Linked DNA regions of Arabidopsis thaliana. The protein of the gene in region 2 interacts with the protein of the main gene of each other region in a pairwise test. Each region holds a gene or a part of one and is shown on either strand. Other genes may lie near its edges. The genes, in order: PEX11B, RABA1b, PLC9 and AAP3.

Region 1 (4,161 bases), on a different chromosome or scaffold from region 2:
TTATAAATCGGTACGTGCTGATAAATTCAAACACACTAATCAGAATAACCAAACAAAACGAAGCACACAAAATCAGACAAAAAGTAAATATGTTTGATTACCTGTTCCATGACGGTTACTTTAAGAACAAGGCAAGCCATAACAGAGGCAATCATCTGAGAAGTCCAATAAAACATAGCGGTTGGAACGCTAATCCGACCAGCAACAGCCATCGCAAACGTAACCGCTGGATTCACATGACCACCAGAGACGTTCCAAGAGATGTAAACTGACGATGATAACGCCAACGCATTAGCAATCGCCGGTATTAAAACACCAAACGGACCAGACACATCACCAGCCATCAATTTCCCTGATAAGAAAAAACACAGGTTAACAATTTCTTCTTATTGCAAAAAAGGATCAAACTCATCAAGAAACAGAGTAATTACTTGAAGACATGACAGAACCAACGGCTGCGAGGACGAAGAAGAAGGTTGAGATAAACTCTGATACATAACATCTCAACGCATTCATACTTAGTACTCCTTGAAACTTACTTGAAAACGATGTTGGAATCATTCTTCTCATCAATTTCTTTCGAAAAAATTATCTCTGTTTCTGTTTCTTTAGTGAGTATTGCATCGTTATAAATCTATAAATATTACTGGAAGGTAACGACTTTTGATGCAAATGAATTTAAAAAAAAAAATAACCGTCCCAGTGAAGAGGGTGAGAGAGTGGGAAGTTACTATTTTACAGTTACCAAGTTTTATGAATTTCATAAATGTCCCCCACGTATGTGGATTATACTTTTGTATACCCTTAGTTTTGTTTGATTTCGATTTGACTATAGATAATGTAAAATAGAAATGTTTCATATATTCAAGTGAGTTACATTACACGTTTGATACGTTCATTCAAAACAACAAACATTTGATTTTATTACATCTCACGATGGCCAGTTCCTATACCAACCGGCCCAAGCTGAAACTAAACCGCTTATACCGAGTGTAATGGTGTGGTTACAAAAGGGGTTTGGGTGAATTTCTGCCAATGCTATAAGTAAATCCGCAACGTTGGCTGAAATTCCCATCAACCTCATTACTATATCTCCCCGAATCTCGCTAATTTTGGCGCCGATTTCTTCTTTCGGTTCATCGGTCGAATGCTGGAGCTTTTTTAAGGATTTGAGTCTTTGCTTTATGAAGATGCAATCAATGATGATGAAGAAAGTGTAGCCGAAAGATTCGCCAAAAGCGGATATGAAACTCATTTTCTTGGCGAGCTTGGCGTCTATTGAACCAATTCTTGATAACCAAAGAAAATGATCAAAGAAGAAGTAAACCATTTCCCCTGAATTGGCTAGGACCGCCAAGAAACGGATCATCGGGGTTGCCCCGGGGTTTCGTCTCAGCGCATTGAACCCCGTGAGAGATCTCCCGGTCCTGTTCGCATAATTCGACCATAATCACTATTCAATTATATTTTTCTTGTAATATAAAGTGTATCGTACTAGTCACTATTCAAATATGCTAGATGAGATAAGATATTAATCAAGAAGTGACTAAAACATTTCATTTCATTTCATCTATTAAACTATATTTACGATGATGCCACTTTGTCGATAAAGTGATTAATATTAAAAAGATGTGGGACCTGAAGGCTTTGCGGCTGAGACCGGAGGCGACCTCCCACTTCTTGAACCTATCGGCGGCTTCGGGTCGTGTGGCTTCAACATGCCAGCACGCGAGCTTGGCCACGTATTGGAATGTCTTCACAAGCTTGTCTATTCCGTCTCTCTTGGCCAAGAACACCACCAGTTTGTCCACAGTGTCCAAAGACATCGCTAACGGTGGCAGCGGAAGGAGAGGAGATATGAAGTTATGGAGATGATGAAGACGATGTAAACCACAAGTGACGTTTGTGCTCGAAACAATCGGGTTTTGTCTTTTGTTTGTTTTGGGGTTTGAGTTTTAAGATGATTGCTTTGTGGTGGCTAATACTTGCTCTTGTTGTCTCATGTTTTGATATTCAAGCTTGGGATAAAAAAAGAAATTTAATCTTTTATATGTGTGGAAGAAACTTTCACAAATATTTTATATACATAAAAAGAAATTTGATAAAAAAGAAAAATACATAAAAAGAAAAAAAATGTTTTCAATTATTTAGGTTCGTATATCGAGATTGAAGATAATTCTAATTTTTATAAAATGATTGAGAGCGTTGGAGAAATCCGAGAATTTGTGCACAAATAGATGAGTGAGGTTCTTTGTACAAATGGGTTTGATTTGGGCTGGAGCTTGGGCTTTAGCTCGAAACTGAAAACAAATAGCTATTTCATTGTGTGAATATAAAAGATGTTATGCATTAGAACCGATATATCACCAAATACGATTTGCTTAATTTTATACTGCATAATCCGATCCCTATCTTAAAGGAAAAAAGATTACACGAACCACGTAATTTTGAGGTGTCCCTTTCAGGGGAAATTTGACGTCGGGTGACCTTCAATATATCGGTTTCATGATTGATCTCTAATGTTGTGTGGATACGAATATTTTCAACATGCAAAAACTTTTATACGTGCGTTTTGGACTATCAAGCTATTAATCTGTTTTTACCGGACTGTCAATCCAAAGATTTACGGCGGTGAAAGACGTCACTTCATACGTGTCCTGCGTTCGAACATCCTGGATACCCAAATTTTTGACATTTTTAAACAAACAAAAACGTATAGATAGAGAGGAAAATCAAATTCAATCGATCTTTATAAAACAACAAGAGACTATACATATGGTTCATTGATGTGTCACTTAAAAGGACACATCAAGTTTTTTTTTTAAAGCCTAAAGGACACATCAAGTTAGGCAAAATAATTGAAGATAGCTAGATAAAATAAATATTTCTAATGGTTGTTTCTTTTTCTCATAATCAATTTTGTTCATATGAAACCAAGAAACGTATACAGAAAAAGAAAATACTCCTTATCCTTTGATCTTCAGCTGTCTCTGTATTTGGAAATTGAGAGTTCATATCTTGGCCCATGTAATAAAACAAACAAAACAAAATGCATTTCATGATTTTCTTACAAAAAACTAAAATATCAGCCCTAGAAATGTTTTCATTATAATGGTTAGAAGAATTGTTAAGTAATACTTTTTCATATAATTGGACAATATTTTTTGTCAAATCAAATATCAGCCCTAGAAATATAAAAAATGAGTTCCCCCTAACGACGACTTCTTTTCTTTATACAGTCATTTGTCTTGGTCACAAGCCACGTAGAAGTTAGTGATGTACATCGATTATTCAATTTTGTTTGTTACGAAAAATCTCAAAACCGGAAGAAATATTTTCTTGTGGTCATGAAAATTTCAAAAGACTAACGTAATGACTAATGAAGCAGCCACAGCCATACGTAAATAACTTGTTATTAATTTTTCAAGATTCTAAAAATATTATCATAATTTTCTTTGACACTAAACTCATATATTACATATAATCAGTTGTTATAAAAAATCTGTAAGAGATTATCAAGAATATATAAAATCTGATTATGTAGTACATACATTCTGCTAGTCGCATTGTTATATTAGCTAGACAATATGACCTAACAAAGATTTGTTATTAAATTTGAAATGGAGGCTCGTGTAGAGTGTATGACACTGAAACCAAATATAATAATCAAATAACACCACGTCGGTTCGAACCCAAGGCTAGAATCAATTCAAGACAATTGGTCGCCTCGTCATCAAAGGATCGATCCTGTTAAAGAACAACATCCACAATTATTACCACGTCGGGCGGTTCCGTACAAAAAACGTGGCACCAAATGGGCCCCAATATGGGCCCGGACAAGTTGATAGAATATCCACTGCACGTTAAGTATAATCCTTCGGTATATGCGAATATGCCATTTCCCTCCATAATGACCTCTAAACTTACGTAACTACCCTTCTTATGTTTTCCAAAACTTCTGAGGTAATGTGTGTGGGCCAAGATGAGAACTCGTTGTGTTGACTAAAATGCCCTTATCACACCAACTTTGTGTAGTTCCATGATTTTGAGAAGTTTCAGAGTCGTCAGAGTTGAAGAACGGCGTGGCACGTGGGCGGCCATGCCCATGAGTGCTGGTTTGGATGGCGTTTTGCAGCTCCCAGTACATCATGCGATGATCAC
Region 2 (5,079 bases):
GGAATTGGGTTCATTGGGCTGTTTGAAAAGACGAAGAAGACGAGCAGATCTCACGACCGGTGCCTGAACGATTTCTCCAGATAATTGGTAATCGATCAACCGGAACTCACTCACTTGGATTTGGTAATGGTGATTGTTGTTGATTACATCCACGGTCGGGAATTGCATTAAAATGCTCGAAAATGCTAAACCCGTAAGAGATTTTAAGCAGTGACTTATTGAAACCCTTTGATCAAATTGAGTTCAGAAAGCAGCAATCTTTAAATTAAGCACAAAGCCAGAAACCAATGAGTACGAGTATCAGATTTCTAGGGTTCATTAAAAAAAGATGCAAACTTTAGGTCAACGATACTAAAATCACAAGATCAAAACAAAATTACAAGAAAAGATGAAGAAGAGAGTGATCATCATTTCATAGCTTTCTGAACCGAATCTCTAGGCAATAAACCAACATCTCCTTGTTGATTCTTCTCCTGCTCCTGTTTCAGAAGCGAGTTTCTCTCCATCTCACGCCACTTATTGATCGCGAATGTACATAGAACTGCGAAATATTTTATATTTTATTGGAATGTTGGATTCAATCGAGATCAAAATAGAAAAAAATATGAAGCAGCATAAAGCGAACTTACATCCGGCGCCGACGAAGTAGACCATTCGAAGCATCTTTGGAGCTGGTGGTCCTTCCTCCATCATTTCTTCTTCTAATCGCTCGCTCGCTCGCTCGCTCCTATCTTCTTCTTCTTCTCTAAAGGAACGGCGTCGTTTGCAGTTTAGTGACAAAATGAGACCTAAACCCGACAACATAACGCAACCCGACCCGGTTCTGAAGTTGTGGTTTTGGATTTTGAAGATTACAAAGACAGAGGAAATTAGAATCAAAACTGGAGGACAAGGAGAGCGACGATCCAACTATCGAAGATGAACGTCGGCATTTTAGATCCAGATTCCTCTGCTTAACTGATGCATATTGAGCCTGGTTCACCAACAATTCTTGAAATAAAGTTAAATAAACATTATGTAGTGTATGGTCTAAAACTCATACAAATGTCGATAGTGTTACAAAACAAGGACATAATCAAACAATGGACCATGGGGGTTATAATTCTCTCTCAACAGTGAAAACAAAAAAAGGCTTCAATTTGAGCAGCACCCGAGTTTCTTCAGCGCAGAGACATCGTTTTTAACTTCGATTTTCTCACCTTTCGGGACAGAGGCGTTCCCATCTTCACCAGCTTCCACTTGCTTCTTGCTTGTGATGCGATAAATTTGTGTCAACACCTCTGCAAATGCGTCCTCCACATTGGTAGCTTCAAGGGCAGATGTTTCCATGAAGCAGAGCGATTCTTGTTCCGCATAGGACTTCCCGTCTTCTGTAGGAACAGCTAGCAAGTGGCGGAGATCAGATTTGTTACCAACCAGCATCACTACAATGTTTGGATCTGTGTGGTTCTTGAGCTCCTTTAACCACCGATCTACGTTCTCAAATGTTGCACGGCGAGTTACATCATATACTAGGAGTGCACCCACGGCTCCACGGTAATATGCACTAGTGATGGCACGGTACCTGAGACGAGAAGCAAAAGTGAGTCTTCAAATTGTGGCGAGAATCAGTGGTTGACAGAACAAAAGGTGTCAGAGAAGAAAATTCTTATAAGCTTTTTATGTTTTGCCAAAAGTGATAATTAAATTGGTAGGTCAAAGAAGGAAGTAAAACAATCGTCTCAATGGAGGCAACTCAACTAGCAAACAGAGCAAGTCCTTTGTAGCATTCTAACAATAGTCTATGCAAGTGTTCGTGATTCTAGTGATCATTAACCAGAAAAAATCGCATGCTCTTGTTCATCCATCCAATTCAGATTCCATCAAAGCAATCATGGTCATATTGAGTCAAAACCCAAAGACTTATTTCAGAAGAAGGGCACTTTTTTTAATCTACATTATTAGCTACCTCAAGATTCCATCCGTCAATGGTGGTCAAATGCAGTCAACTTCAGACAAACGAGCAATATTTGAGTACAAAAGTCAACGGAGAGACTCTCTAGTAAAAGGCTGCTGAACACAGAACACATTCACAACCAAAAAACTAAAAACAAGCACATAAGCCAGTGAATGAATCACACATTGAATAGTCACCACTCACCAACCTAGACCTAGAGAAGATAAGATCAGCTTCATGTTAAGCTCCCATTCACTCCAAAACTGTTTGATAGAACATATAGATTGGGCTAAAGAGCTCAATTCCAACACAGTAACATAAATTCAAATTAAGTCAAACAAACGAATCAAAAAGCTAGTGTCCGCTATCAAAGTCACCAAAACGATAGATCTATGGAAACTCGTTTAAAGCCACTGCTAGATCGAGAACCTAAGTATGGAAGCAAAGGAGCTTAGAGTGATCTCCGGGACAGTGGCTTCTATTTGCAATGTACTCGAGACCAATTGACCCAGGAATAAATCGAAAATACGCCACGAAACTCAATGTGAAATACCAAGATCTAGCATGAAGGCCGATTTTACATACAAATAAGAGACGAAGAACGAAATGAAGAGACGAGGAAGACGAAAAACGAACCTCTCCTGACCAGCAGTGTCCCAAATCTGAGCTTTAACGACTTTGCCATCGACTTTTAAGGTACGAGTGGCGAATTCGACGCCAATGGTGGATTTAGACTCTAGATTGAACTCGTTTTTAGTGAATCTGGAAAGGAGATTGGATTTGCCAACTCCAGAATCGCCTATAAGAACAACTTTGAAGAGGTAATCGTAGTCATCTTCCACTCTGTACCCTGCCATCTCCGCCGTCTCCAGGTGGTTGCTTCTTCTCAGCGATTAATCTGAGAAAGAAAGAGAGAGAGAGAGAGAGACGCAGCAGTGTGAAGGTGTAAACTGAGATTTGAAATAACGCTGAGAAGAAATTGGTGTATGTGTTAAAGTGACGGCTTGTGACAAGACAGTCTGTAACTGTAATCGAGATCTGGTCCGTTGATCTATTGGGCGCGTGTGTGACTGTTGTTATATCAAAAGGTTTTTACTTTTTACAGGTTTTCGCTGTATTAGCAGGGTGAAGACTAAAAATTTGATCATTAAATCACCATAAGATCACTAGATTAGTTAGCTCTAATAAAGTGGGAAGTACAACAATATAAACACAAACTTTTTCTTGAAATAGGACGTTTTAACTTTTAGTAATAATGTAATTTCATATCTCAAAAACTTAACTTCTCTTTGGTTATATTATTAATTGACTCACGCCATGACATACATTATTTTTCTAGCTAAAATTTGTAATCAATGTAAATATTAAAGATAGTAAAAAAAAACTACGTGATTAATGTCCTGAGTTGACTATTATTGTCTGCATCTTAGAGATGTCAAAGATGTCAACAAGCAAGCGAGACGATCTATGTTCCCTTTTCCCGGAAAATTGACGGTGCTTTCGTCTTATTCTTCCTCTCTCGCCGTTATCTCTTTGGGAATAAATAATACTTAAGTACTACAGGTAATTTCAGTATCGTTTGATTCTTTCTGGAGTTTATGAGTTGACTTTTTTAGCTAACAGATTCGTGATTCTTCAGTTTGTTATTTACATGATTCAGTCTCAAACTATATAGTTCAGAGTTTAAGGAAACGACATGGATGATGAAACCTCTGTTAAAGAGAAGCAAAGGAACTCCGATAGGATAAGCAATTTACCTGATTCCTTGTTATGTCAGATTCTCTCAGATCTCTCCACAAAAGAATCGGTTTGCACAAGCGTTTTATCAAAACGATGGAGAAATCTCTGGTTACATGTTCCTGTATTGGATTTGGATTCCAATAACTTCCCAGATGATGATGTTTTTGTGAGTTTCGTAAATAGGTTTCTGGGTTCTGAAAATGAGCAACACTTGGAGAGATTCAAGTTGATCTATGAGGTTAATGAGCACGATGCTTCTCGTTTCAAGTCTTGGATCAATGCTGTGATTAAGCGTAGAGTTTGTCATTTTAATGTTCATAATGAGGTGGATGATGATGACGAGTTAGTTAAGATGCCTTTATCTCTCTATTCATGTGAAAGATTGGTGAACTTACAGCTCTACCGCGTAGCCTTGGATCATCCGGAATCTGTTTCGCTGCCTTGTGTCAAGATTATGCATCTTGATATGGTCAAGTACGATGCTGATTCGACTCTGGAGATTCTAATATCAGGTTGTCCAGTTTTGGAAGAGTTAACCATAGTTCGTGATCCCAATGATTCTCTTGAAGTTGTGTGTGTGCGTTCCCAGTCTTTAAAAAGCTTCAAGATAGATTCTGAGCGCTACGAAAGTCAAAATCATGTTGTTACAATCGATGCTCCAAGACTTGAGTATATGAATCTTTGTGATCATCGATCTGACAGCTTCATAATACACAACATTGGCCCCTTTGCAAAGGTAGATATCGATGTTATCTTTAATGTCGAATATAATGATCCATTGGAACCAGATGATTCTTCCAAGATAGCTATGCTAGGTAAATTCCTCACTGGGTTATCTACGGTCAGCGAAATGGTCATATCTTCTGATACTCTACAGGTATATATATGCTCGATTCAATAACATTAAGCTTATACACTTCCTTTATGGCTTTATCACATTTTCTCAGTGAACCCATGTTTGTTTGTTTTTTTGGCTGCATAGGTTATTCATGATTACTGCAAAATGGAACAACTACCTCAATTCTCTAACTTGTCTCGCTTGCATGCTTACTTCGAAGATACTTGGTGGGAAATGTTGCCAACCTTCCTTGAGAGCTTCCCAAATCTACACTCACTCGTCATGGTGAGTTTTCATTTGCTTCTTCTACCCTCATGTAAATCACATTAAGATTTTTGATAACAAAAACTCAAACTTCCCTCGGTTATATATTATCAGGAATTTGATTGCTTTCCAGACACAGAGCAGATTGATCTTTCATATGTGCCACAATGTTTCCTATCATCTCTTGAGTTTGTTCATTTGAAGACTCCATACGTTGTTAACATGCAAAAGGAAGGGAGACCGCTCACAGGAACATCAAGTAAGAGGAAATTAGCAAAGTACTTTCTAGAGAATGGTGCAG
Region 3 (5,685 bases), on a different chromosome or scaffold from region 2:
AACATATGCTCCCCGGTTGATAGTCTATCTTGCACCGCAAGCCAAATACAAAACGAATACTTAGGTTTGCCATGATTGAACCAGACGCCAGGGAACTGTGGGAGAGAGAGCTCTGATGTGGTTCCACGTATTCTTGGTAGAGAACGTTGCTTTGTACGCATTATTTTTTACCTTTCCACATGGCTATGTCATCAGCCTCCTTTTGGTTCTCCTTTTCAATTTCATTGAAATGAGCTAGACGATGTCTTCTTAGTCGTCTTCCTGTCTAAGCCTTTTCCAACGTTGACTCTTTACTTATCCTCTTGCTTCTCTCTCTCATCTTCTTGCACTTTCTTGTTCTTATCCCAAGCTTTGAGTCTTTCAGGTACGACATCATTTTATTGGATCATTACTCTTACTTCATTGGTGGTTTTTGTTGGTCTAAAGAATTTAATTATATCAATATTCTAGTTTGCATTGACAATGCAAAATCTTATAGCTTAAAGTTTATTTAATCTACATTTCTCCGATTAAAGATCGCCGGTGACTATTTTTAAACTCTGATGAATGATAAGACCGAGGTAAAGTCACGAGTTTTACGTATAATCTAGGAAAATGGAAAACAATGTGACATAAAACGAGAAAGTCACTAGATGATGAAAACTTAACGGTCAGAAGATGACCAAGCAAATAGTGACATGTGGCCTAGCATTGTCACCACATTTGTCAATGTTGGAACTAGATCCACTATGAAAAAAATCCAAAACCAATAGACCAAATAAGATCTGCTATGAAAAATAGGATACCTGGAGGCTGGAGTACTCGGAACTAGATCCGCTTTTATTTTTACTTTTACAAATATATTTTTAACATGACCACAAAATGAAGAATGACTAATTTACTTCATCACTAAGTTTCAGTTCCATCAAAAGTTGTTACCCTGAACGGCTGAACCTAAGAAAGTATGCCCCCCAAAAAAATGTATATGTTTTGAACCAAGCTCGAGAAGAACTTGCAGAAGAATGAAAAATAGTTTTTGAAATAAAAAGACAGTAATTCAGTAAAAGAAATTCAAAAATAAAAGTGAAAGAAACTTGAAGTGACAACAAATAACAGGAAAAAGAGAAAACTTTATTTTCGTCTCCAAAGTAAAATGCCAATGCCAAGTTTTTCTGGACCAAATACCTTATTTCCGTATCACAATCTAAGCTTGCCTAAACCCTTTCCCCCTTCCAGGTGGAACTTGAACTAGGGGTCCTAGAAAGCGTAACTTTGAAAGGTTTTAAGAAACACCACTAGATCAAGAGCCGCCACTTGGTAATGAGAAAGAAACTTGTACGCTAAGACCACTTAAAACGTGTGAGCAGCATTGTCGAGCTGCATGCCTTACCTCGCTCATCATAGAGCGGAACAGCACGAATTCCTTCTATTAGTTCAGAAACCGGTAGACAAGTCTGACCACAAAAATAATCTGGAGTTGATACTTCGTAGTCATAAACTTCAAAACTAATCAAAGCAAGGTCAGGATAGGTCAAGGGAAATGTGAATTCTTCTCCCCAAGTAGGTTTCCATTCGTTGTTTTTCACTGTCGTGTTCATAATCTTCTCATCATGGGGTACACCGGCAATACTGATCTGTGCATTTGCGATTAAAGAACCAAAATCAAACTCATTTCCATACCCAAGAAATTAAAGTATCATCTCCTGATTTAGATTTTTGTACCCTAACGTATAAGTCCGGCTTAGACAGTCGACCTATCCGCTTCTTGAAGTCCACAATCCATCCATCTCCCATGTAGATTTTGACCTGCAAGATATAATGTCATCACCCATCCTAAGTGAGAAATAGAACCATAGTATAATTGTTGTAGGATGACAAACAAACCTTTAATGTCTTCACCACCACTGGATTCTCTGTTGGATAGAAAACTCCACTAGAACCTGCATTCAAAAGGAAATTCGGCTTCTTGACGTAACCGCACCCTCCATTTGCTCTAAACATCCCTTGCATCAACCAAAGTTTTTCTTTGTCGTCCTGTAGTACAACATAATGTATTCATGAAACTGATTCCAATAGGTAAGCTCTCCACACAATGCGTACATGCTTGTGCAACCAGTACTGGTTATGAGCAAGAGAAACCAGATAAAGAGAGAGAGAGAGAGAGAGAGAGAAAGAAACGTTTAGAGTCACACCTGCCTGCTTAGTGCAATCATTTGTGCACCGTGCATCCAAGCTCTCTGAGGTTTATAAGGGGGGTTGCTCAACAAGTTGCGTTTTTTTGGACGTGTCCGCAAGAATTTATTTTGGGTGAAGCTGTTTATTGTCAAGAATTTCCTAATCAGTTATATTTTAGTATTTGAGAGGCAACTACTCTCAACATGTTGAGTAAGGGTTTTGGTATGTAGTATAAACTTATTTAACTCAACAATACCTTATAACATCTCTTTCGTACCATCCTGGTTGTTGGACGTCGTCTGTTAATGCTTTTTGTAGCATGCCTCTTGGTTCCACTGCATGAAAGCCAACAACACTCTGGTAATTCTTATCTGTTGACCCCTCTTGTATCTCAAGCTCAACCCCATTCTCAACGGCTTTAGCATATAACAATTTTGTTGGTGGTCTTCGTGATATTAATATCTTATTTTGTAGTTCTGCTGGTGAAGGAAATTCCTCCAAGCTTTGTTGGGGGTCTTCGTGGTATACCATATCACCAAATGTCTGATCTATCATCTACATATGCAACAATATATCATACCAAAAGAATTAGAATACGTAATAATATGAGAAAAACGAGGAGAAAAAGAACATTATAAACCTGAGTAACTTTGGATTGAAGATCCGGTTTCAAGCTGTCCTTGATCGTAATTATCACGGGATAACTCCTCGTGGGGGTAAAGGCATGCTGTTTGATAGCATCCAAACACTCTTGCAATTCTAGAGGCTTTTCAAAGTTCCTATCAAGTTCATAATTAAACCAGAAGCTCAAAGCAAGCTGTATAAGTTTTCATGAAGTAAAGAGGCAGAACAGAATATACCATTTTGGCCTAACGCATATGCCGTCTTTACCAAAAGGCAAAAGATCTAGTTCAACCACTCTCACACCTTGTTTAAGTGCATCAATGATGGGCTCAATGCTGTATAATCTCCCAAAGACATTATTTCCCGTAAAGTAGGATTTGAGGCTAGTGTGAATGAAGTAATGCGATAGTGGAGCATTCATGTCACGATGACGAACCTGAAGAACAGAAACCTAACTCTTACAAAATGTGTTCTTATTTCCAAAAACAAACCAGAAGTAACGACCAACCTATTTCTTTGGTTAATTTTGGAACAGAAAAAAAAGAAAGAAATATCACCTGGTCACTGATCGGGGGATTGAGCTCCGTAGAAAACAGAAACTCGTTCAAGTGAGGAAGCTCGAGAATCGTCAAGTTGCGGAACTTAAGAATATCACATTTTCGGCTTTTTAACTCCCTATCGATTTGCTCTGCAGCGTTCAAGCCGGCACCGTCTTCGTCCTTCTCAGTATCCAACAATTTGATGAACGTAGGTAGCAAATTCGGCATATCGTCATCATATCCATGATATTTATTCCTGAAATAATTTGGGACGCGACCCGGCTGATTCGCCTGTTTCATCTCAAACTTCTTTCTTAAATTCACCATATTGTGAAAAATGGACGAAACCAAAGTATCCCTCGCTTTTTTTAGTTGGTCAACCTAAGACGACTTCAAGAAAGATTTTGCGGTTTGTGAGGTACAAGCAAGCATAGATCCAATGGATAATTGCTAACCCATTTTCTCCTTACATCATTGACCCTCAAGTGTTTTTTCTTTTCTTTTTGAAATTTAAATAGTTAAAATTGGTTTCATTGGTTTGTCTTTTTTTTTGTTTTGTTTATGCGTTGGGCTCATGTGTTTCTGTTGGAACGTCACCGTGGGAACATGATGTGTATTATTAACTTTTTGTTTTGATTGGTTTGTACGTAGTTTTTTTAATAATGTGCCAGTTGTTTTAGACTATGTACTATGATTTTATTTTTTTAACACTTCACCTAATCTTTTCTTTTATCTATCTATTAATTCAATATGTAATCAATAATTTTGTTTAGTAAATATCAACATGTATCATACTTTACCATTTTATTACATAGTAATCATCAACATCCTAGTTGGCTTGTTTACCACTTTTACTTTTATTTTCTTTTGTGTATATGTTTTATGATTATATATTAATAATAATTATCGATTAAAATTAAGTTAAATTAAAAAGGTTATCGTTCAAATCCATTTCACTAAAAAAATGAGTTTTTTTGTCCTATATTCAAATCAAATGCAACAACTCTCTCTTTATAAAATGAAAATGATGAATTTTGATATAAGAAAAATAGAGACTCGACTTCGATAAAGTTTTGGACTTCACTGAAAATTAGCATGAAGTTATATCCCGTTCACCCTAAGTCAGGGCAGCTGCATGACAAGTTCAAGACTTCTCATAGCGCAAGATAATCGAGAAGACAAAGCAAAGTCAAATTTATTTCATCAAAGGAAAGTAGAAAAGCTTTATTTCATGCAAATTAACAAGAGTAACAAAATACTTAAATACATATATAGGATAACATCATAAAACGAAAAAGATAGCAATAACACAAGTTACACAACTGATAAAAAACAGGGAACAATGATGTTTCTGTAGAAGATAAAAACGACTTTAATTCCATTGTTTCTACATAAGCTCGAGCATGTTTGCTTTGCCTGGAGGACGTTCCATCATGCGGTTTTGCTGTTGCTGTTGCTAAGGTAGAAGAATGGTATTTAGAATCGATAAATTGGACGAAAGCGCAATGCCACAAAATTTCTTGGTGACAGTAAAAAACTTCGACATATTGAGTACCATTTTGAGGTGTTCTCGTTAATTTCCACAAACACATTCCGTAAATAACTTGCATGTATGTCAAACACTACATCTTTACATATAGTTTTGAAGAACTTTGATACCTCCTTCTCGCTGCCAAAGTAGTTCTCTATGATCCGGCGACGACTTAAGAATGTGGCATCTTCCTTGCCGTTTAGAAGGCATCCCATGAAAACCACATAGCTTGTTATGTGGTTGGTACTCTTTGCGTAAAATTGTTCAAAGGCGACGCAATTGAGCAAGATTGAGATAATGAACCCATCCAATCTTAACACTGGTATTTGAAGCCTGTTCTTCTTTAACCTTATATCTAACATCGAATCTGCACCACTCCTTAAACTGAAATCTATTCCTTGGAGAGAAAGTCTTGTAGCCGACAATAGCAATGTAAGACCGGAGGATGATTTCTTTCTAGATTTACCCTTAGTGAGTTGGAAATCTTCGTATCCATCCATAGGTAAGAAGCTCATACGAATGAGGTCAAGAAGATGTTTTGCGTTGAAGTTTCTGTGTTTGACCCAATATCTTTCTGGTTTATCCATTGAGAGGTTGAAGAAGCTAAAAGCCATCCTGTTTAGATCACCAGGTACACCTATCTCTGATTTGTCAAATAAAGTTTGAAGAACAAAGAAAGGGACCTGGTTTTCCAAGAGGAGGAGATCACTCTGAATAGACGGAAGAATCCATGGGATGGTGAGAATTGGATCCTCACTCTCATACAATTCTATCTTTCTTGACACGATAAGTAACAACATGAGAATGAAGCACCCATCAAGAATCATCATATACACT
Region 4 (5,276 bases), about 23 Mb from region 2:
GGCAACTTTCCAAGTTTTGGTTCATATCTAGCTTTCCTTATTCATTGGCACGATGGCGGAATTCGAAATTCCAAGACTTTGTGTTGAAAGTTGTGAATTTTGTTTTGGATGTGTTAGGTATTGTTTGCGGTCGAAACGTATATTCAGCCAACTTAAGGAAGAGCCATTTGTTGTGGAGCTTGATCAGAGAGGTATCACTTTCTTTCTCACCCAACTGTTTATGAGAATTGAACTGTTTCTTAAAACTTCTGAGAGATTTGTTTTTGCAGAGGACGGAGATCAAATCCAGTATGAGCTTTTAGAATTCGTTGGTCGTCGTACTGTCCCGCAAGTTTTTGTTAACGGCAAGCATATTGGTGGATCAGATGGTATGATGAGCTCACTATCTCCTCCAAGTTTCATTCTTTTGTCCAAATTTCCCTTGTAACTCACAAGCCTTGGCTGTTTATCTTGTTGCTTCAGATCTTGGAGCTGCTTTGGAGAGTGGTCAGTTGCAAAAGCTTCTTGCTGCAAGTTGATATTTGAGGACCTCGAATGTGGAATCTACAGTATGTGATTTACAGGAATTAGAAATCTTTGCTAGTTGTAGACTGAATAAGCGAATTGATATGTATGACTCAGTTATGTAAGTTATGATGGCATTGATAAAGTCTTGATCTTTTGTTACTGCACTGCTCTGGTGATTGTTTCGCTTAAATAATCCATACTTGTGTGCCTTAGTGAATGGTTCATACGGCAAATATCAGATCATGGAAAGAAGAGCAAGTACAAGAACTTGTTATTGAAATTTTACCACAATGGTAATATACTATTATGGTGCTAGTTCATGATTCTGTTGCAGCACATGACTCTGTCATTAATCGAAGATTTACTCATTAGGACTACAATTCTTGCCTTCAGGGTACAGAGAAGATTATAGAGAAGAACTAACAGCATTATTGCTTCTATCTATATAAAAAAAAGCTGATCAAAATTCCCAAATTCATGGTTCTTGGTTCTCTTGACTGTTCTTGATAAATCCATTGTGTTTAAAACTGACTTAGTCATCGCTTTGAATTGGCTACTATTCAAGTTGATCAGTATTCGCTTCGAAATGGCTTGTAGGACTTTAGATCAAGAAGTACTCCAGCTATGGACCCTGCAGCTGCAGCAATGCTAACTACTAGACACCCTAAGCTGAAGACTTGAAGGCAAACCCATCTGGTGCTCCATCTAGGTATCTTCTTCTGCGCGATGTACATTTCCACTGGAAAATACACCGTCAATGGCCAAAACCCTAGTGCCCCGAGCAGACCCACAACGTCGTTGAAAAACGGAAGAAGCATTGAGATAACTGTCGTTATGATCACAAACACTGTCCTCCATATCAACCTGAGTAAGCCATTCCACGCCACACAGAAGCTTTGATTATTACATACACATCATGTTTAAAACTCAGATCCCATTAGTTTAAAGGCAAGATTTGTACCTGAAGACATTCAAGCGGAGAGGCTTGAAACCAGGAATTGGAATTTTGATATCTTTTGCAATGAACTCACTATCAGGGAATTGAATGGAAGCTTGCTTCTCGATGAAAGCAAACAGAGGTTGGCAATAGACTTGGTATGCACCAATAAGGTGAATCACAATGGCTGCATTTGCAATGTCAAGAAGCCAATAAGGATTATAAAACCCGAAACCGGTTAAGAGATTTCCCGGAGACAAGTCTCCAAAGGCTGCATATCCCATACATCCACACAACATATAGAACATAGTCGTTACACTGACGCTCACAAGTGTTGCCTTCTTCATCGTCTTCTCTTCTGATGGTGGTGACTTCACTGTGTCCTGTTTCAGATCCCAGAATAAAAAAAGCTTCATGATGGGACCAGTAATTAATGGCTTTGATCATCAAGACTTGTAAAGAAGGTATAAGTACCTGAATCTCGATGAGGATAATGGAGTAAGAGTAAGCAAAAGCAATGTCTCCAAGAGCTTGAAAGGTCCTCCATATCTTCTGTGTCTCTGTTACTGCTCCTATGCTAATCCCAGTGAGACTTCCCTTCACCTTCCCATTAACTGATGAAACCAAAACACATAAAACCTATTAGTTTTTTACCTATGAAAGTTCTTATTTAAGACCCTAGAAGCTTTATGGTTCAAGAAACGAACCGACAACTTGGGCTATGCCGAGGGCGAGACCGGCTGAGGAATAAGTGAAGGACATAACGGCGGCGAGGATTGAGAGCCACCAAAGTTGATCAAAATCTGGAATCTGAGAGAATAGAATCTGGACTAATCCAAAAGCTATCATGTAAGGATTACTGTTCATGTGACATGGATCTTTCCCTCCACTCTTGTGGAAACAGTTTGATCTCTTTATTGCCCTGTTTTTCAAAAACAAAATTTTGTTTATTTTTTATTATCATCAAAACCTATTTGGTCCATTACCTAACTTCGTAGTTTTAAGAGTTAATTAGTGAGAACACTCACATCATGCTTATAGCTGAAGCAATTGTGTAGCCAATAGCAACACCAAAGATATTAAGATACTGAACAATCCCACATAGCGTCACCTTCACGCCACCTATACAGAACAATGAAAAATGTTAATGCTCTGTTCTGATCTGATCTCCATTGTCCGATTTCTACTTTGAAGTTTTGTATTTACCGAGATTTGATCGGACAGCATCCATATAAGTGTAGTTCCTCTTGCCGGAGATAGGGTCGCCGGAGCGGTAACAAGCAGCAAGAAGAGAAGAAGTGAAATAAGTGACGGCAGAGAAGAGCAACATCACCACCGGTCCGGCGAGCCAACCTAGCTGCGCCGTAGCCCACGCTAGTGACAAAACTCCCGAACCTATCACTGCCGTTATTATGTGTGCACTCGCCGTCCAAACACTCCCTAAAACCCAAAATTTAAAAACTTTCAACTTTCTCGTTTTTTCAACATAACTAAATCAGAGCAGGTTTCGAGTTCAAATTAATATTTTTTTGAATAATTAGAGAACCAAGTCTCAATATGAATTAAAGAGAAAGAGAGAAACATTGTTACCAGTTCTTTTGTTTTTCCCGTCGTCGTCCAAGTACTTGGAGCCGCCGGTTTGTGGCATATCGACGGCGAGAACTGTTTGGTGGTTTTGAACCATCTTTTGTTTGTTTTGCTCTGTTTTTTTGGTTCTTCGTTCAATCTATGAAGTTACATGCAGAGTAAGTGTTTGAAAGAGTTGATCTTTAGAAGGTAAGGGAAATGTTTAATGACTTTGTTAAAGAACTGTCTTGTGGATGAAGATAAACTGAGAGTGGAGTGCAGATTTATATACACAGAAACTGGTAAAAACACTCATTTGAGGCAAACACAGTAAAAGGTAAAAAGTGTATTAAAAAAAATATATCTGTCTTGGTAAAAAGTTGGTAGGACCACTATTACTCAAGTGTTACTATTGAAAAATTTGACTTCATGATTTATAATTTTATATGAATGATTCGATACCAATTGGATAAAAACAAAAGAAAAGAGAAAATATGGGCAATGGAAAATTGGAAGTCCAAGATGATACCATCGTTTTCATTTGGACTTAAAATGTCATTGTTCAGCTTTTTTGAAAGAAAAAAACAAACATTCATGTACGTGTGTGTTTGAAGCTTAGTGTTATTTTCACTTACAACTAGATTTTATTAGAGTATTTTATGAGATTAGAGAAAATAAAATGTTGTTTTAAAAATAATAGGCATTTTGGTTATATCATTTGATTATTTACGTATTTCGCTAATTTTAAATTTTATTAACCGTGGACAAACTAAATTTATTTAGAAAACAGCTTGGTTTTTTCTTGAATATTTCAATGTAAAGTGTTATCGCATTAAGATGTTAAAAGAACATTCATGGAATCATGACATATATATGGAGAAATCTATGCCGACTTTAAATAATGAGTACACGCAATCATGTGTAGATTTCAAAATGATAACTCAAAACCAAAAGGTGATTTTTATAGTATGAGCAATAGTAACGCACATATACTATATCTTACCTAGAATCCGAAAGTATATCACCCCACCATATAAGTTTCTGTAGGTAACTAACTTATGAGGCGTGTAAGCTATATGTTCTTCTCGAAATGAAATATTTTGATTACTTTGCCAACTAAACTCATTTAAACATAAATGACATACACAAACTTGTATTGGCTTGATTCGTGGGAAACCAAATATCCTTTAAGGACTTACGAGAAGATTTGTATTCAGACAAGTCATCATTCAAAGGAAATAGTCTCCAAATATAAAGGGAATTATATTCATAAAAATAGAATCTATATATACATTGTTGCAGTCATTTTGTGAAATAAATCCTGGAGTTGGAATTTATTTACAATGGCTACCATTGGCTTTTAATTATTGTTTTTTTAGCAATAAATTGATTAACAAATAAAAAAACATTCGAAATATATTCCAATCCCATATATCACGCAGATTTTTCCAAAATTTGAAATAGATTTCGACAACTATTTAAAACAAAAAATGTTTGACAACCCAAAAGACAATTGCAATCCCTTAAAATGAGCGAAACGCAACTAAATATATTTCTTATCTATTCACTAAATCTTATGTCTCCAAAATTTGAACTACATTTCGACAACTATTTAAAACAAAATTTTGTTTGACAAACTAAAACACAATTGCAATCCCGTAAAATATTTATTTTAATTATAAATTTAAATTAGCGGGGTACCGCGGTTTATTTTTACAGGACGAGTTTGGTGGAACGGGTTTAGAAGGACGTTACTTAATAACAATTATAAACTATAAAATAAAAATATTTTATAGATAGACATAATTTGTAAAATTTTATATATACTAATTTAAAAAAATAAATTGTCTCCGCGGTGTACCGCGGGTTAAAATCTAGTTCATTCTTTACAATTCCAAAGTTTATAACCGCAAAAATGCATACAAAATGTACCAGTTTTTTTATTTTTTTTTCCATGTTTACATTGAAAGATAATTAAAAGTAATAACAAAGATCTAGGAGATCATGAAAAAGAATATGGTTCTTTGGTTAAGATCATCCACTTGATTTAAGCGCACACAATACACACACAGCCATCCTCAATGTCGATTAACGAATTAAAAGAATGAATGAGAAACGCCTTTCATCATAGCAACTGCACTTTCTTCAACTTGATCCCTTATTAAGTGTTATCTTCATTATTATTTTTATTATCTTTGTAAGAGTATACATCGCCATGAGTACTATATCCTCCTAACACTTACATTCTCCCTTTTCACTTTTCAGA

What was found.
Region 1: the proteins of RABA1b (region 2) and PEX11B interact in a protein complementation assay, tested with the Arabidopsis thaliana proteins (one large-scale study listed by BioGRID).
Region 3: the proteins of RABA1b (region 2) and PLC9 interact in a protein complementation assay, tested with the Arabidopsis thaliana proteins (one large-scale study listed by BioGRID).
Region 4: the proteins of RABA1b (region 2) and AAP3 interact in a protein complementation assay, tested with the Arabidopsis thaliana proteins (one large-scale study listed by BioGRID).

Annotation. Positions count from the first base shown.
Region 1 is NC_003074.8:17,478,463-17,482,623, reverse strand, and holds PEX11B (peroxin 11B), read right to left. Parts: upstream 2,104-4,161; 5' UTR 1,827-2,103; coding exon 1,639-1,826; intron 1,428-1,638; coding exon 932-1,427; 3' UTR 824-931; downstream 1-823. Other genes in the region: TIP5;1 (tonoplast intrinsic protein 5;1), read right to left, coding at 1-17, 102-352, 432-570. UniProt on the Arabidopsis thaliana protein: Involved in peroxisomal proliferation. Promotes peroxisomal duplication, aggregation or elongation without fission.
Region 2 is NC_003070.9:5,786,355-5,791,433, forward strand, and holds RABA1b (RAB GTPase homolog A1B), read right to left. Parts: upstream 2,959-5,079; 5' UTR 2,794-2,958; coding exon 2,573-2,793; intron 1,565-2,572; coding exon 1,135-1,564; 3' UTR 805-1,134; downstream 1-804. Other genes in the region: AT1G16916 (uncharacterized protein), read right to left, coding at 408-541, 630-804; AT1G16930 (F-box/RNI-like/FBD-like domains-containing protein), read left to right, coding at 3,633-4,553, 4,659-4,799, 4,893-5,079. UniProt on the Arabidopsis thaliana protein: Intracellular vesicle trafficking and protein transport.
Region 3 is NC_003074.8:17,386,078-17,391,762, reverse strand, and holds PLC9 (phosphatidylinositol-speciwc phospholipase C9), read right to left. Parts: upstream 3,881-5,685; 5' UTR 3,645-3,880; coding exon 3,336-3,644; intron 3,215-3,335; coding exon 3,015-3,214; intron 2,934-3,014; coding exon 2,795-2,933; intron 2,710-2,794; coding exon 2,411-2,709; intron 2,293-2,410; coding exon 2,172-2,292; intron 2,014-2,171; coding exon 1,864-2,013; intron 1,786-1,863; coding exon 1,702-1,785; intron 1,614-1,701; coding exon 1,320-1,613; 3' UTR 803-1,319; downstream 1-802. Other genes in the region: AT3G47210 (hypothetical protein (DUF247)), read right to left, coding at 4,794-5,685. UniProt on the Arabidopsis thaliana protein: The production of the second messenger molecules diacylglycerol (DAG) and inositol 1,4,5-trisphosphate (IP3) is mediated by activated phosphatidylinositol-specific phospholipase C enzymes.
Region 4 is NC_003070.9:29,074,125-29,079,400, forward strand, and holds AAP3 (amino acid permease 3), read right to left. Parts: upstream 3,267-5,276; 5' UTR 3,129-3,266; coding exon 3,035-3,128; intron 2,885-3,034; coding exon 2,651-2,884; intron 2,567-2,650; coding exon 2,473-2,566; intron 2,367-2,472; coding exon 2,152-2,366; intron 2,059-2,151; coding exon 1,919-2,058; intron 1,828-1,918; coding exon 1,469-1,827; intron 1,372-1,468; coding exon 1,077-1,371; 3' UTR 755-1,076; downstream 1-754. Other genes in the region: AT1G77370 (Glutaredoxin family protein), read left to right, coding at 118-368, 463-518. UniProt on the Arabidopsis thaliana protein: Amino acid-proton symporter. Stereospecific transporter with a broad specificity for GABA, tryptophan and both neutral and basic amino acids. High affinity transport of cationic amino acids.